2 linked regions of the Caenorhabditis elegans genome follow. The protein of the gene in region 1 purifies or fractionates together with the protein of each later gene. This does not show direct contact. Each region holds a gene or a part of one and is shown on either strand. Other genes may lie near its edges.

Evidence for each region. Proteins that work in one complex are often made in the same cells at the same time.
Region 2: the proteins of unc-39 (region 1) and suox-1 fractionate together in Caenorhabditis elegans (co-fractionation; one large-scale study listed by BioGRID). This does not show direct contact.

The regions. Positions count from the first base shown.
Region 1 is NC_003283.11:14,369,374-14,378,336, reverse strand, and holds unc-39 (Homeobox protein unc-39), read right to left. Parts: upstream 5,264-8,963; 5' UTR 4,949-5,263; coding exon 4,646-4,948; intron 4,078-4,645; coding exon 3,948-4,077; intron 3,576-3,947; coding exon 3,226-3,575; intron 2,870-3,225; exon of another isoform or gene 2,849-2,869; intron 2,763-2,848; coding exon 2,538-2,762; 3' UTR 2,456-2,537; downstream 1-2,455. Other genes in the region: npr-43 (G-protein coupled receptors family 1 profile domain-containing protein), read left to right, coding at 278-544, 594-677, 726-900, 1,113-1,249, 1,297-1,529, 1,902-2,060, 2,111-2,198. UniProt on the Caenorhabditis elegans protein: Probable transcription factor required for differentiation and migration of neuronal cells, such as RID and CAN neurons. Specifically, plays a role in the terminal differentiation of RID peptidergic neurons. Also required for CAN neuron axon guidance.
Region 2 is NC_003284.9:15,493,225-15,502,030, reverse strand, and holds suox-1 (sulfite oxidase), read right to left. Parts: upstream 4,477-8,806; 5' UTR 4,476-4,476; coding exon 4,364-4,475; intron 4,317-4,363; coding exon 4,120-4,316; intron 3,690-4,119; coding exon 3,510-3,689; intron 3,425-3,509; coding exon of another isoform or gene 3,377-3,424; exon of another isoform or gene 3,301-3,376; coding exon 3,139-3,300; intron 3,084-3,138; coding exon 2,859-3,083; intron 2,812-2,858; coding exon 2,601-2,811; intron 2,530-2,600; coding exon 2,439-2,529; intron 2,396-2,438; coding exon 1,948-2,395; 3' UTR 1,752-1,947; downstream 1-1,751. Other genes in the region: tbh-1 (Tyramine beta-hydroxylase), read left to right, coding at 1-366, 423-540, 988-1,349, 1,398-1,677; gob-1 (Trehalose-phosphatase), read right to left, coding at 5,088-5,237, 5,817-5,959, 6,006-6,492, 6,656-6,925, 6,976-7,077, 7,393-7,485, 7,535-7,593, 8,345-8,360.

The DNA of each region.
Region 1 (8,963 bases):
CTCATTAGATCAGGAGATTATGATGTTGTGTTCCTCCAGCCGACTAATATTGCAAATTTTTTCTAGACTGTCTAAATTTGGAAAAGTTTTAATCCTTCTAAAGCTATAGATGTTTCTGGAAAAGAATTGACGACTTTCGGATTAGGGGAAACGCTTTTTAGGGACTTCGAACAATAAAAAACTAACCAGGGATTGATATGTGACGTCGGAAATCAGTGGTACTATACTTTTCAGAAAATGCTTGAACTAATTCAAAAAATACATTATATTTCTTCAGGGCCCCGTCACAATATCCGCTGCAATTTTCTCTGCCATTGGCACTGTCTATGCTATTGGATTCCTTCGAAATGGGCACTTGAATAGAAGAATGTCAGCAGCTTTATATACTTTGTGTCTCATGGATTTTATGCTTACGATGACTACCGTTCTTTTCCTAAGCATTGAACCTCTTAGTATTCTCCTATTTCGTACCAATATCTTCTACCAACATCAGGATATGATTCTTATTCTGTATGGAATACGGAATAGCTTTGCCATGTCATCGGTATGCAAAATTTAAAAGGAAATTTAATAATTTTTGATTTATTTTTCAGCCGATGCTAGTTTGCTACATCACATACATCCGATACAGAGTTGTCAACAATCCACTCAAATTTGCATCACATTATGGAAGATCGGTAGTGACACACATTTTGTTTTCAAATTTAAGGAATCATATTTTTTAGAGAAAATCAATATCTGCAAGCAAAATGAGCACAGCTGCTCAGCCATCTTCCACAGAGTCGGCAAAGTTCACAATTTCATTTCCAGCCGAAATGTTCTATGAATTTCACACCAGAAGCAATGCTGGAAAAAGAGGAGCAAATTTCAGAAGATTCTTCAGACCATTTCTAGTTCCAAGTATGTGAAAAGGGCAACAATTTGAAAGTTTCGGAAAAGGAATGAAAAGTGAATTATTCAAAAAGGAGAATCCCGAATTTTAGACCACTCTTCGTCATAATAACTAGTGTTGCATACTTAATTGATAGTTTAAAATACATTATTTTTGAAATAATTTCACAAAATTCACTAAAATTTCTGTTCTCTCTGAATATTGAACTTAATACTTTCAGTCCTTCTGGTAATCCTCTGCTTCGTCATTCATAGCACTTCCTACTTTGAATTCAACCTTATTACATGCTTTGATGAAGTTCATCAGACTGAATCAAAAATGCTCCAGATGACACAACTCAGAGGAGATTCTTATTGGGTACGTAACCATCTATTCACTCTATTCTATAAATCCCATTGTTTCAGTATTTTCAATTCAAAGTTGCCCTTACCATGACAACAGAGACATTGGGACCAATGCTTTTCATCTCCACGCTGTCATTGTTCACTGAATACAAAATGCATCAGAATGTCAAGGAACGGAGGAGGCTTTTTGAGAGTCAGAAGAGAAGTAGAAACACACTGGTGACGGAGGAATTGAAGGATAAAGCATCGAAGGCGTTAGCTGTGTTCATTGTTGTCAAATTTCTGATTTTGAGGTGAGTATAGGCTAGAACTTCAAACTTTTTTTGGCCACTCCAAGTTTGATCCCAAAAGTGGGAACTTGGTTCAAAAGGTGGCAAAGCTTTTGCAAGAGATGTAGAAACTGTGCGTTGTTTAGACCATACTCTATGTTTAACTCAAATATGATCCAACTATTTCCAATATTTTGTCCGAACTATTCTGTGTTGTTTAAACCTAGAAAGCATTGCCAAGAGTTGAATCAAGCCTGGGCTGAACTTGAAGTGCGGTCAAAAAACGTCATGCCAAGTGTTTACCTTGAGCAAGAAATCATCGCCAAATGCCAAGACAGTACTAATTATTTTGTTACATAACATAAAAACTTGGTAGCTCAAATTTTCAATTTTCAGATCCCTGCCAACATTGATTGATCTCTACGAGGTTCTCATTGAAAACAGTATAAACTTCGGCCCATTCATGACAAAAGTCACGCGAATCTCAGACTTCCTTGTCATTCTCAACTCGGCAACCAACACATTGGCCTATTTCGGCAAAGTTCGATTCGAAAAGTGAGTGTATCATTGAGCTCCGAGATTCTAAAAAATCCTCCGATTTTGAGGTGTTTCAGATGGCTGGAACGAAGGATTCGGTGTCGAATTGTGAAGAAGGAGGCGAAGGAGATTTTGAGCACTTCACTTACTGGATAGATTATATAGTATGCCAATATCCGACATCTACGAAGTTCTAATATATTTTGTTTCGGGGTTATTTGTGATCTTGCATTTTGTCTCTATTTATTTATGTCCGCAATATGTGCTACGGTTTTTTGTTTCAATAAATTTGTTTTTATTTTTTCAGTGTTTCAAAAAACCTTGCAAGAAACCTTGAAATTCTGATATTTTTCCAGATTCTTGAATTCAGATTTAAATATCAAAAAAAAAATTATAGCCTGGCAAACTTCTAAAAATAACAGTTTATTCTTTTTGCACTTTTAAAGCATTTCAAATATACAATGGGTAAATACTTTACTTTTATTTTAAAAAAAATTACGGATTGAAAGTGAATTGATCATTATCAGACTGACTGTCACGTAATGTACCATAGATCATGTTCATATTGAATGGAGCAGCTGCCAAGTTAAAGCTTTGCGGAGTTATTATTGGAAGAAAGTCACTGCCACCATTAGTGCTGCTCGAGCTGGAAGGTGGGGAGCATTTGGCTGAATTGTTCGATTTGTCCCGTTGGCGACGGTTTTTGAACCAATTTGAAATCTGAAAAATAAAATTGAAATTTGTTCGAGATTACTTTACCATGTACTAATTTACGCTCCGGCTTTTTCAGATCCTATTTTAGTTTGTTCTACCATAGAATCCTTGTAATCACACTAATCTTCTACTCGAAATTTGACAATAAAATGAAACAGATAATTTATGATCCTTACAATTTGACCTTGCAGATCTTATAAACAAATTCTTTCGGAGAAGCCGTCTGCTCAGTTGCGACTAGTCGGCAACTGTCTTTTCACGCATTCCTTTTTACAATCATTGTTGGAAAAATATAAGCAAACTCAACTCAGACAAGGATAGCACGCAAGCGTTTACGACTTGGCAGCTGGTAATAAGTACTGTACATAGTCAGTTAAAATGTGAAAAGTTTTACCCAGGGATTCTACTAACTTCTCCTTAATTTACTGACTAAATAAGCAATTTTGAAGTTAATATTTTTCTCACAAACCTGTACAATTTTGAGTCCTGTTGCTCTTGAAATCTCTCTTTTCTGCTCCTGGGTCGGATATTCAGAGACGTTGCGGAAAAATTGTTTCAAAAATTTCCTACTCGAATCCTTGAAACTGTACACAATCTCCTCACCATCCCAAATTGTTTTCGGAGCCGGAAACTTTCGTCTCAGCCGATATTTTTCCACTGGATTCAGTTCTTTGCCACGTTTCAGCTGACTTTCCTTGTACCTTGCATGATGCCAAATATCTTGTAGATCATTGTAATGACGCTGTTGAAAATGTCGATTCGAGAGAAGGTGGAAGAGTGTCTCGAATTCATTGGAATGATATAAGGCATATGTGTAGGCTGAAATTGGAGAATAGGGTTAGATGGAATGGCGGGTACTAAAAAGAGTCAACGCAATAAATGGTTTGGAATTTGAGAAGAGCAGGATATAACGCAATCGAATGAGGTATTATTCAAAATCGAGGAAATTGCGTTATTGATATAGAAGAACTAAAATACATAGCAATAGTGAGAGTGTTGACAGCAGATATTACCGCAGTTTTTCAAGTCGGAAGGATTACGGGAGCAACTTTTTCTGCTATAGGATATTTTTTAGAAATTTCTTATAGCAAAAAATGGATCAGTTTGAAGAAATGAGTCTTTGTAAAGTTCTATATCAGATACTTGCGGAACAAAGTATTTTCAAAAATATCACTATCTAATCAAACATACCTACGATGATAGCTTCACTTCGCAAATGATCTACTGCATTTGGTCCGTACAATGACTCCAACTGCTTGAAGAATGCTACCAATCGATCACCATCTCTAGCTTGAAACAGGGATGTGGAGATTGCTTCCATCTAAAATTGTTGGGAATAAATTTGAGTTTTTAGATGAAACTCAAGAATCATAAAAACTACAGTTGATCTATGTGCATGTTGAACATGTTTTTAAAAAAAGTTACTTTGAGACAGTTATGAATATTTAAGATTTCACAAGTTTTTGAATGTATTTTTGACTTTGTGAAATTTGCGGTAAGCCTGTTAGGTATACACATCTATCACCAAAAAAATTTGTGAAACACTAAACTTTCAAATTCAACGAAAATTTTGAGAACATTAAAAGCGAACAAGTCGGCTTGTGATATGGCTGGCAACCCGGAAGTTTTGTTTTTCAAGTGGTACTTTTTCGAGAATTCATTCCACGTTCTAGACTTTTTTATTAACAAAACACAGCTTCCAGTTATTACAACAAGTCAACTATCATGGAAACTGTCAAAAAACACCTGAAAAAAACACCGTATCGTCCAGAGCCAGGTTTCCAGCACTAAACTGTGACATTTCGAAATAGTTAGACTTCGAGTAGAAACCTTTTTTTCAAGTTCTGATATTTGATTTCCCTCGCTAAAAATTTAATACCACAACCAACCTGTTCCATTGAATATTCGGACATTGTGCACCCAAAAGCTGGAATAGTCGGTGAGCTGATTGAAGCAGATGCCACCGACGGAGAAGGAGTCGGAATTACAGAAGACGGTGTCAGAATATGAGACGAAAGCTCGTAGGGCGGACCTCCAGATGATGAAAATTGATCCGAGATGTGAGAAGGCGATGTTGAAGAGTTAGAGGTGTTTGAATTTGAAGATGAAGTGAATGTATATTGAAGTGGCAGCTGATGTTGTTGATAACAATCGAAATATGAAGAAGTGTCAATTGGCGGATGGTCTGTCATGAAATAAGGTGGAATACTACTCATCTTGCAAACGTTCCTAGAAGACCAAATGGGCGGGGCTAATCGAGCAATATTGTGTTGAGGGGTACGGTACAACAGTCCAAGAGGGGGAGGCACCTGTAGAGCTCTTTTGGGATGAGGTGGTGGGAGGGAAATTTGTGTTGAGGATTAATTATAGGCGAGAATAAAAGTGTCGAATTCGAGTAGCTTCTCGTTTGAAATAGGAGCCCTCACGTTGTTAGGAGGTGAGGATGGGCCTCTGCAGATATTAATTGGATGATGATTTCCGGACTGACTCCTGACAGTATGGCTGAGACCGGAACGAAATGACGAAGAGGCTGAAGTTTGAAAAAATAAGAAGAGCTGAAAAGAAGAAGAAGAAATATGGAAACAAAGTGCAGTCTCAGATTACCTTTCCTTTCATTGAGACTTTTGAATTTTTAAGCAGCCAGTTAATAGCTAAACATTCTCGTTTTGTCGTGGAATGAGGGGATGAACATTTTGAAAGAAACATGGGCTCAGATTACTGTAGTGAATAATAAGATACACATTTTTGGGAGAATAGTTTTGAAATTTTTGTGGGCGTAAATGAACTTGAAACTTGCTCGTATAGTTAGAAGAAATAAAACAGTGTTACTTGGAGAACTGAAATGTATTTTTTTCACTACAAAACTTAAACTGATCTCATAAGACCGAATTTTTATACGAATTCTTCAAAATTTCACAAAGTTTTAATCATTTTTAAAGTTCAAGTGGACTGCAATAAAATAGGTTTTAGCTATAATTTCTAATTTTCACAGCTTGTTGACAGTGACCGGAAATTATCTTTTATACAATTAATTCTATATCTTGCTTATTTTGGTTATTTATTTTGAGTTTTTGTTGTTTTTTTATAATGGCTAAGTGTGCACAAATTTTATTACCTTTCTTGCACCCACTTAATTTAACCGCTGCGACACGGACCAACTGGGAAAATTGAAAAGTTTTGAACCGTCAAAAAAAATTGCAGGAAGGTTTCAAGAGGTCTCATTAAGAAATTAATTTTTTATAGTATTTAATTGGGTAATAATTAATTTTTCGGTAGTTTTGAAGAATTTAGAGCAAATAGAAATATTGAAACTCTATTTTTATATTTATCAACATATGAACTTCGAGAAAGCCGGCTAAAAGAAATTCCAAGTGTTTTATTTATAGTTAGTGACTTCAATTAAAAAAGTACCCACGTAATCCAATTGATAATCATGTTCTCGTTTTTCATCACATCTGTCACCAATTTCTACAGTCCTCAACAATTGAACTGACGTGCTCTTTTCTCCTAGCAAAACATTGATTGACGAGCATACGGTAGTCGGTCAATAATGCAAAGAGGCGTATTCTTTATACCATTTGCTTTCATTAGTAGTGTACATCAACTATTCCTCTTTTGTAGATTTGATATTGGCTATTTATTGTCACCATATTTTACCTAATAAAATTACATCCCCATTGTTTTATTTTGACAGTTTATATTTCGGTTTTCTTTGGTTTTAGTTAAAACAAATTTTACTGGTAAAATGTAGAAAAAATTGTGACAAGTATTTTGTCAGTTGACAAATTTTTGATAAAACCAAAGTGAACCAAGATATAAAAATACGGGATATCAGATAAACTGATAATTACATTGTTTTTTCTAAACTTTTGTAACTTTATTTTTTGTCGTAAATTCGCAGTTGACTGTGGGTGGTACTTATGCTACATTCCCATTGTAAACTCTTTTTTTACATTTCAATTCATGCAGTATTAACTTGTATAATATGTTTTCTGATGTATCTATTATCAAAAAATGTCAACTGACGAATCATTTTTGAACATTTTAATTTATTTAGCTTTTTTAAAATTTAGTTATACCATCAATCTGCCCAATGAATTTGCTTCAGAGGTGAGCAGAACTATAGCCGGCGCATCGGAATAACTACGGAGTTTGGTTTTACGGATACTTGTCGTATTCGTTGCCTGTTTTTTAGCTGATTCGATAGTTTCGGCTTGTTCCAATATCTGAACATCGTTTTTTTAAAACCAAATTAAAACTCGAGAAATTACTTTTGAAAAACAGGGCGCTCGGTTTGCCATCCCTATTCAAGGCTTTTACAAAATTTGGTACTTTCAAACAAATGCAAAATGCTGATTAATATTGTTTGATGAATTATAAGGAACAATAATATCTATTGTTGCAAACAATACCTCGAATTATGGGGAATTTGCAAATCTGCTGCAATATTCGACACTCTTCAAATTTAGTGTCATAACCATATAAGTCATAAGTCACCAGACACCCACATACTCTATACAGCTGTTAGTTGAATACGTTCATTGTCTGTAATTAGATTCCAAAAACGGTCAATATCTGGTCATTTATAGCACCTCAATCGACTACCACGTGGCACATAATGTCTGGTTGCAGATGGAGAACAATTTGTACTTCCTGCGGATCCATCTGCTCTCGTCACCAATTTGGGGAGTTGGAGCAGCAGTCAACACCTTTCTTATCGAAACTGTAGATCAGATAACAATCGCAGGTGTTAAAAGTATATGATCTACTATTTAAATCTGAAATTATTGTAATCCTTCTGAAATTGGATACATTTTTTTAAACACGATTTGAAATTTATTTGTTCAAATGTTTCTCAATTGATTCGAGTTTTAAGCGTTCAAAATTTCTTGATAACGTTAATTTTTTTTTGAAAACTGAAAATTTACAATTTCAACTTGAGATTTTGAAAATTTTAGGAGGTTTAAGTTTATTAAATTACTTTTTATTCACATATGGGAAACCATTACCAATTGAACATATTGTAAAGGGACCATTATCTACAAAAATACCAAGTATGTGTTATTGGCAGCTGTGTTCTAAAATTTTCAGGAAAATGAAGACCCCCAAATCTGGAAAAACTGAATTTCTTTGTGTTTCTATTTTTGTCGCTCAGGCTTTTTTCAGTTTTAAAGATCCAGAAGCTCGTGATAAAGCTGAAACCCTAGAGTATACTCAGAATTAAAAAGATTTCCGACATTATACATAGTTACTTACAAGTTTTTGATTGATACAGAAGTTTCCAAAAAGCTTTCAGAATGTTTTCCTATCCTTAACCACTTGTTAAATTGTAAAAAACCTGCAAAATTATATTTTCTGTGCTATTTTACGGGCATTGAATGTAGTGAAAAAAAAACTATTGAATTCAGATCGTCTTTCCTTGCTCTTCTGAGGAAAGTTTTGTAGTGGCACAGTTTAAGAAGACTTCTTCCCATTTTTCATAGGTTGGAAGTCCATAAGTGAGCAGAAAAATGCTGAAACCTTTGTGATTTTTGATAACACATTTTTCGATTTATTCGGTATGACTTTACTGAATTTTTTTGAAAAACTATTAGAAGTAACTTTCCAACAAAAAATAATGCAATTCTGCTGCATAATGTTGCTCTTGGATTGTCTTCTTATGAACTTTCATATACTCCCCATCTATAACAGCTAATTTTCAGCAATGACCACGTGGCAGGTGTTGTCAAAATAGTTGCACCTATAACGTATATTTATACATCTCCAAGTATCCTATTAGCACAGACCAGCTGCCTTGAACGGCGGACCCCTGTTGTGTGAAATGAGCCTGTCTTCTCCTTTTTCCTTCCACGCTCGTCTTCCTCCTTTTTCGCGGATTAACACAATATGAAAAGTTTGCTCCAAAATGCTCGGTACACTGGAAGAAAAGGGGTTCCGTTCCGTTGATGCGATAATTGTGACGTGGCACTTAGGGGTTTCGGATGGGAAGTGGGCGACGAGACGAAGATTTATGGGTTAGTACGTTTTTCAAAAAAAAAGAAAAAGAACGGCACGGAGAGTGTAGATGAAATATTGGAGTTTGTGCAAGAGAGATGGGATAAATGAGAGAGTGCAAAGAAAAAGGTCCCCAGTTCTTTTTTCGGGCTCTTCCAAGGTCTATATGAACTTCTGAACTCTGTGTCGATTAAAAATTATATATTTAGATAT
Region 2 (8,806 bases), on another chromosome or scaffold:
TAAAATGCCATTTGACACCGTCAATAACATGTACCACGTAGTGAGAATGGAACCATACGTGACACCTGGAAATGAGCATTTGGTGCATCACATGGAGATCTTCATGTGTAGAGATGAAGTAGAAGAATGGAGTGGAAGCTGTAACGATCCAAAGAAGCCGCCAAAGTCAAAGTCATGCAGTCATGTCATTGCTGCATGGGCAATGGGAGAAGGTCCAATTCATTATCCGAAAGAAGCAGGACTCCCAATCGGAGGGAAAGGAAAGAATGCATATGTGATGGTTGAAATTCATTATAACAACCCAGAACTTCACAAAGGAGTTATTGATTCTTCCGGATTTCAGTTCTTTGTAACCGGACAACTCAGGTGTGTTTTGAAACAAATTTATGATAGGAATTTATGATAATAACAGCTTAATTCAGAAAATACGACGCAGGAATTATGGAACTTGGTTTAATATACTCCGATGCAAATTCAGTACCACCAAATCAAAAAGCATGGGCCATGAATGGATATTGTCCATCACAATGCACTAAAAATGTAAGTCGTTTGAACAAATTTACAGAAAATATATAGCTATGTATACTTAAGAAAAACAAACACAATAAATCAAAAGTGGTGGGTAGTTTTCTGAAAATCTGAAAATTGATATACTTATGAAATTGAAAATTGTGTACCTAGATTGCGACTTTTATGTATTTTTGTATAGAATTCCGAAAAAAATTATAGCGATTATTTTTACCAAAAAAAAAATACTTTAAAATTCTCAAAAGTCACATTATTTTTGCTTTCACATCAAAATATTGAGGTGCTGAATTTTGCCTGCCTGAATTATTGTGTCAAATCTGATTGAGATACATTCTGTTTAGGGAGTACACAAAATTCGTTTTCTTGGGAGAAAAGTTTTAATAAAAAATTTTCAACTTAAAAAATCCGCACATCTCTCAAAATCCATACCAGATTCAACTGTAAAATCGAAATTTCCAGCTTCCCGAGGAGGGAATCAACATTTTCGCCAGTCAACTGCACGCTCATCTAACCGGCAGAAAACTGTTCACATCTCAATATCGATCTGGAGTTCGCATTGGAGACGTGAACCGAGATGAACACTACTCCCCTCATTGGCAGCATCTGCAACAGCTTCGACCAGTGGTTAAGGTTATGCCAGGAGACACACTGGTCACCACATGCGTCTACGATACCAGAAAACGATCAAAAGTGACGTTTGGTGGATATCGAATTGTGGATGAGATGTGCGTCAACTATATTTATTACTACCCAGCTTCTGATGTAGAAGTTTGCAAATCAGCAATTTCTAATAGTACGTTGAGAGCCTACTTCTCAGAACGGTGAGATTATCGAAACAAAATGCATCCAATTTTACAATCATATTTCAGACATGGTATGGATGGAAAGAGAATGCAAATTTCGGATATGTACAGCAACGTCAAGGACTGGGGAAATGGAGTTGATGAGGAGTTTTACAATGTGTTGAATGTTGGAAACATGAACATGAACTGCTTGAAATCCAACGGGGAGCCATTCGAATTTGAATCAAAAGATTCCCGCCAGAGCTGGGAAAACATGGCAAGACCAACATTTGTCTCCGGATCATTCATCACAACCAGGGATAGATTCCAGTGTCCAGCCATCAATGACATGATTAATTTTGAGTAATAGTATTGTGTAACTTTCAACGTGCCATTGTCCTTTCCTACATCATTCGTAATTAAACCTTTAAAAAATATTTTGTCATAAAACATTTATTCATACTATCACAGTTGATCTAAAAACTTCGTAACTTGTTGCAATTAAATCAAACGGGGGTAGGGGCAAGACAATACTGGTTCAAATTAAAGATTCAACTGGCCAAATTTTGAATTGAAGCAAGAAAAAATCTAGGGGAAAAGAAAACTACGAGATCTGAACGGAATTTAAAAAAAAATCTTAATCCTTCACAATAATGGGAACTCTATGCCAGGCATTATGAATCAAACCACGAACATTCCAAATACCACTGGCAGTCTCTGGTTGCGTGTTATAGGCTCTGTCTACTGCTTTCGCAATAATATTGAACTCCTTGACTCCCGGAGGAATTTTCACTTCTGCCTTGAACAATGTCCATGCGTACATGTGCTCCTGATCCTGCTTCTCTTCTTGCTCCATCTCGACACTGTTCCACGTCTCGCCACCATCGACGCTAACCTCGATTCGGATGATTCCACGGCCACCACCGCTCCACGCATATCCAGAGATGTCCACAGTTTCGTCACCACGATCAACTTTGGTATTTGGAGCCGGACTACAGATTGCACATTGAACAGGATACTCTTGGATAGATGGAACTGTGTTCCACTTCAGCTCGTCACCAATGTTGACAGCTGGGGAGAATGCTCTGAAATTGGATGGTTTGTAGGTTCTGGAGATTTATTACTAACCTATAATCTTTTTGCTGCCAATGACTATCACTTTCCTTCTCACTAACAATAATTTTTCTGAGCCATTTCACTTGTCGAGCACCAACATTACCTGAATGACTTCTTTTATTAACGATTATCAGAAAAAATTTTTTAAATAAAAGTATGTTAAAACCGTTGTACCTGGCACAATGACCCGCAGAGGAGCTCCGTGATCCCTCGGAATATCAACTCCATTCATGTGATAAGCGACAATGACTTCATCTCCACGAGCCTTTTCAATGGGAATTGATGCTCCGTAGGGTGTTCCAGTCGGATCAACATCTGCTCCTTCAAAGTGGACGTGCTTGATCTTGTCGTCGAAAACGTCGATTCCTGCGTCAGCGAGAAGATCCTTGAATTTTATTAATTAATATCTCATATTTTAAAATTCAAATTTACTCTCAAGCGAACTCCAGTCCATTCGGCATTACTGATTGCAGTTCCTTCCCACATCAGTCCTTGAACTTTCTTATACTGATTCATATCGGCTCTTCTATTTCCAGCACATTGAATCACACTTCCAATTGTATATGACTTGTACTTCTTCTTGAGCTCCTCTACAGACAAATCCACTGTTTTTCCTTTGATGGTTTCCACAGTCAATCGATGGTTTTCAGTTTTGATCTAAAAAAAAATCCAGCGTAAAACTTCACTACACACACAACCCCTTTTCACATACATCAGGAACCGGAAGATGATTTCGTACAAAGAACAGTTCATTGGGTGTGTAGAAGTGGTCGGTAAGCAGGGAAGGAGGGGTTTCGGCATTGAAGGGCTTCGAGTTACGCACGAGTAAAGCTGGATGACGTTCCGGATCATTGGAGAATGCGTCAGCGACTGGCTGTAAAACAAACACAAACATAGGTGAGATAAGAGGATAAATTGATCAATATTTTGGGTGCGTTTGTACCCGGACCCTAATTAAAATCAACCAAACTCACATTACTTAAATCTTCAAAATCAATCTAAACAAAAAAATTTGTTACCAGAATTTCATAAATCACACAATAAAGGATTGTATGCCACCTCTTTTCTACTCCATGAACTTACTTTCGGAACATCTTTTACATCAAGTTTGCCAATTCGATATCCTTCGAGAATCTCGAGAACCTCTTTTGTCTTGTGCTGTGAGTAGAGAGCCCAAAATGGGTCGACAGCTGCACCGGCGGCAAGCAGAATTTTGTCACCTCCCGGATGCATGGCAATGAAATCTGTGACATCATAGACACCCTGTAAAAATAAGAAAACTATTAATTCCAGTTTATAAACAAGCATCAATTTGGAAATACGCATATATGTAGTTTGAAATGTTCTAAGCGTTCGAAAAAAGTCCTTAAAAACCTGTAACCAAGTCACAAAACTACATTTTGTCCAGTCAGCCAAAACTGGACAGTTGAATAATTGAAATTAGGGCTCCCATGTGGGTGCCGCTTTCACGCCGCAATTCAAATTTTCAAAGCGATGCGCGGAACCCACAAAATGTCGGACGCGGAGTTTGCACCAAACAGTGGCATAGAGTATGACACTATTTGTAGCAAAGTTGACTCCACGTCCGACGCTTTTTGGGTTCCGCGCATCGCTATAAAGGTTTCGGATTGTGGCGTGAGAGGGGTGTTTTCGGGGACGACATAAGAGTCCTAATTGAAAATAATCAACTTACATCTTTGTACGTAACCCAAATCCTGTCTGCGTCTTTTCCATGTTTCTTGACCTCCTCCTGCTTGTATATCTGAAGATTCTCCAATTTCTTCTCTGACATCGTCTCATCTTTGGCGTGATCAAGCTTTGCAGTTTTCACAAAGTGTTTGAATCCGAGCACTCCAGCAGTTGCGGCTCCTCCAATATATGCATACTTGTCTAAACATTAGTTAATAGATTTTCAAGTTTTCGTGGTAGATCCCTACAATAAGAGTGATTTTCATTAGTCCTCTGATGTTCTGAAGTGGCGCCCGAAAGTTTGTTGAACTGACGCCGGTGTCTAAAAAACCGATTGAAAGATGTGCCCCGGCCAAGCATTCTGAAAAAATTTGCAAAATCTTTGAAACTTATTAGTTTAAAATATCAAGATTGCCGAAAAACAAACAATACTTTGAAAAATAAAATATCTTTTTTAGAAATTGAATTTTGAAAAAAAATTGAAACAAAAAAAACTACGAAGTTCACAAACACATTGAAAAGTGGACTGAATCAGGGGGGAAAAAGAAAGCAAAACCCGACTAGTTTTATTAAACAATTATTCGAATATGAGGAATTTTTGGTGAATGAGGGTACAATAAAAACATGCTAATAAAACCGATTTCTATAAAACAATAACTGAATTATTTGGTATTTTTACAGTTCTAATCAATTGAAGTTTGAGGGAAGAACGAAAAATGGAATATCAGAAAAAAAAAACGTCACGTGGCAGAAACTGAGAAGAGGAACAGTGAGAGAGAGCAGAGGTCGTAGAGAAAACGAGAGAGAGAGACAGGTTTCGTCGCCTTTGCTGACCATTGACCAGCGGTCATTGATTGCAAGTTACGATGGGTGGTTGAACATTTGAGAAACAACAAGTTGTCGTTGTTCTCTACCTCTCTACCACTCTAATATTTAATAGTTAATGGTTGGGAAACAATCCAATTTCATTTTTCATCCAGAGAACTCTGAAATAATTTGGGCGAACGCAGCGTGAGCAACATCTGGTGAAGAGATGAAGCAGACTCGTTTGGCGTCTCCAACAATATTTGTGATGTTCTCTTGAAGCTGCTTGTTGATATTGACAAACAAGGCTCGAACGTTCTGGAAAAAATAAGTTTTCAAGAAATTTATCTGATGTGTTTAGCATTTTAGCATTATTTCAAATACAAGTTTAATTTAATAAGAGAAATGTTTACTAGCGTGTCTACGAGGTTATTCCAGCTCACGCGGCTCACGTGGAGTCAGGCTCTCCCATCACAATTTTATCTACTAAAAAGTGCGGGATTTTTTTTTGCCAAAAAATGTGACGTCATCATGTTCTAAACAATGTAAAATCAGAGTTGAGAACTCTGCGTCTTAAAACCCGCGTTTTTCGTAGATCTAAGTAGATCAAACCGAATTGGGACATTATGACACCACGTGCAAGCTATTAAGAAGCTATCAGTTCATGAAAATGCCTACTTCGCAAAAATAGCGATAGCACAGAGAACATGCGATGACCAGTGGTTTAGGTGCCTTCGCAACGAGATATTCCCGCGCCAAAACGGTAGGCATTCTCGCGATCTTATGATTTCTTAATATGTATGATGTTGTCCACTGTTGTTTTATTGATAGCGAAAAATATTCAAAAGTATGCTAATAGTGGTTCAATTGACATACTATCTCAATTCAAAATCTTACCTCTGGATTCTCGTCTGCTGCTTTTTTCAACATCGGAACATCACTCGCGGTGTCCCCTGCGACACAAACTTTTCCAACCTTCAACGAGTCGTGGAGTGATTCCACTAAAGCAGCAACTCCATCTCCCTTGTTCCAAACAGCTCCTGTAATTCGAAAATCATCATCATAAATTTCAAAATTGAGCATTACCTGACGAATGAACGCATACTTCAATTTCTAACGGTGAACAATTTTCTAATACTAAATATTGACTGTTGGGATCAACTCGATGGATTCGTTCACGAACTGCATCAATGTATCTAGCTGAGAGGTCTTCTGGAACTTGCTTGAAAACCGTTTGAACTCCTAGGGTAAGACGATCGACTTTCCTCTGTACACCACTTCCAACCAACGCGAATTGCACAAATTCCCCTTCATGAAGTATCTCATCCAGTTGTTCACAGAGCTGCCCAATTGCAACACTTCCTTCCTCAGGAATTCCATCATCATGCACTATTCGTCGGCCGCCAAGCCACCATTCGCGTCCCCAAGATCCACTGAATAATACCGGCCCGTTGATGGGGAGTGCGGTGAGGTCTAGGATTCCAGGATGGCGGAGAGGCCCTGCGGTTAGGACGGCAAATGCTCGGGTGAAGAGACGAGAGAAGACACCCATTACGATAGCGCTGTAGGCCGGCTGAAATGTAATTTATTTCGGTTTTACTTTTTTTTTCGAAGTTATGTTTTCTCCAGAAAAAATTTGCCGTTTAAAATTTATTTTCAGTTTGAACAAATGTATTTTCAAATGTCCATTTGAGTTTACACAATTTAACTTTTTCAGCTCATTTTAAGACACAAACCTGCAAATTTGTTGCATACTGTGAGCAATAATCCTTCATAGTTCCATCCCAATCAGTGATAAACAGTGGTTTAATCCCTCCGGTGGTGCTCGTATCAATGAGATCCATCAGAAACGCTTTACACTCGGCGACCTCTTTCTCGAACCGAATTTCATCGTCCACAAATTTAGACAACAGTCCAGGTAGATCGCAAAGTTTTAGAACATTTGCAAATGAGTTGTTCTCTTTGTCACTTTCCACCGCGAATGCATCCAAAAAATGATGGTCTTTCTGAAACAAAATAATTTGGAAATAAAGAAAATGCAGCTTCAGGAATGAACCTGCAATCCTTTAATTTCGTCTTGAATGTTGATGCCAAATGTGGTTCCTCTTGAGTGAATGTCTCTGATGTGGTTTTTTGACGTTCGCTCGTCATTCATTTCCTGGAATTATTGACATTATTTTGACCGAGATGCGGAGAATGAAATTAAATGATATCGGTAGGTTTAAAATTCCATTAAATAAACATTTTAATGTAGATGTAATTAAATGTTAAATAATTGTGAAAAAGGTTGTCTTTTTAAAGTTAGCTATTGTTTTAGCTTTTGTTTAAAATTTTTTTTTTGAGAATTACGTTCAAAAACATTGTTTTAAAAACAAAATGTTTCAGTTGAGATTTCCACTCTATGAGAATTTTTTGACATATACCCGGAATTTCAAATTATTCAGATACATGGTTTCCAAGCAAAAAAACCAACCTCTAGCGTACTTTTAAATATTTGAACTTGGTCGGCTTTGATATGTCCTGTTTCGAGAATTTCATTCGTCACTGATTTCCGTGCTTCTTGCATCTTAAACAGTTACTACTTACGAATAATGTACGAAAATCTATAAACTCACCTGATACAGACATTCTTTGAAATCTTCGATAGACTGACTGGCGATAGTCATTTGTGATTCTGAAAATTGCCAAAAAATAATTCTAGAAAAGATAGAAAAAGGGCACAACACAAAGACATTATGTTCTAGACGTCGATAAGGCTATCTGATAATAAGATGATGGTGTTATGTGTCAACACGTGATATGGCTGCTTTTAATCACTCTATAGCCTGTTTAATGTGCCGTTTCTAGGTCTCATAATTTCTGACATCATTTTTGCTGTATTCTAGGCAAAAATAGTTATTCAAACAAAAAGTTGATGCCTAAAGGTTTATCTATATTAAAAGGAATTTTAAAATAAAATTAAATAATCTTCCAATAAATATTTCATCGAATTTTACTGTGTTTTTGTCTATATGTTTTATGAAAAATATAGTTAGAAACAAAAAGTGAAATTATTTAAATTTAAACCACAGTTTCGAAAAAAAAGGAAAACCCTCACCAAAAACTATTTAAACTGATTATACTTGACGCAACCAAATGAACAGAAAAATGGCGAAAAAATCAACTTTTTACTGGGGGTATGTACAGATTAAAGATCATATCAGTGAAAAACAACTGATCAATACGTAAGACGTCTTGTCAGACGTGCCAAACAGCAGAGAGCGGTTGAAACACGCACAGGTCAACAGGTGTTTGTGTTTCGAAGGAACAAAGTTTATTTTCCTGTTTTCTTTTTTGCTTTTTTTTTGTTGTCGTATACTCCATCCAAAACTTTTTTGTATGACATCCATCTGGTTTTCATTGCTTAAAAAAATTAATTGCCCTACCTTTTTCACAGTTCATCGGGCAGTCCGGACGGGAGCCAGCACGGCCCGGAGGGAACTTGGCAAGTTTGAGTGATAAGTCCTGAAAGAAAAAAAGTTACTTTCGAAAAAAAAAGGATAAATCAATAACAGTTGAGAGTCGAAATGTAAACATAATTCGGTCAGCTAGGCGACACTCTGGAAAATCGATAATAATCAAAACAAGCACAGACTGAATAACGGCGGAGAGCGGGGAGAAGGGAGAGGGGGTGGTGGTGGAAAAGCAAAAACAAAACAAAACGTGTCATTTTTGAATAAGAAACCGACCGGTTTTTGGTGTTCTAATTTATCAGGACTGATTTCTTGTTTGAGAATTGAGAAGTGAGAATTGGGAACAAGGTATGTTTTTTTTTTAAATTATGTTTTTATTTATCAAGGATTTTGTGTTTATGAGAGTTGTTGTACAAAACAATTTTATTATGCGTT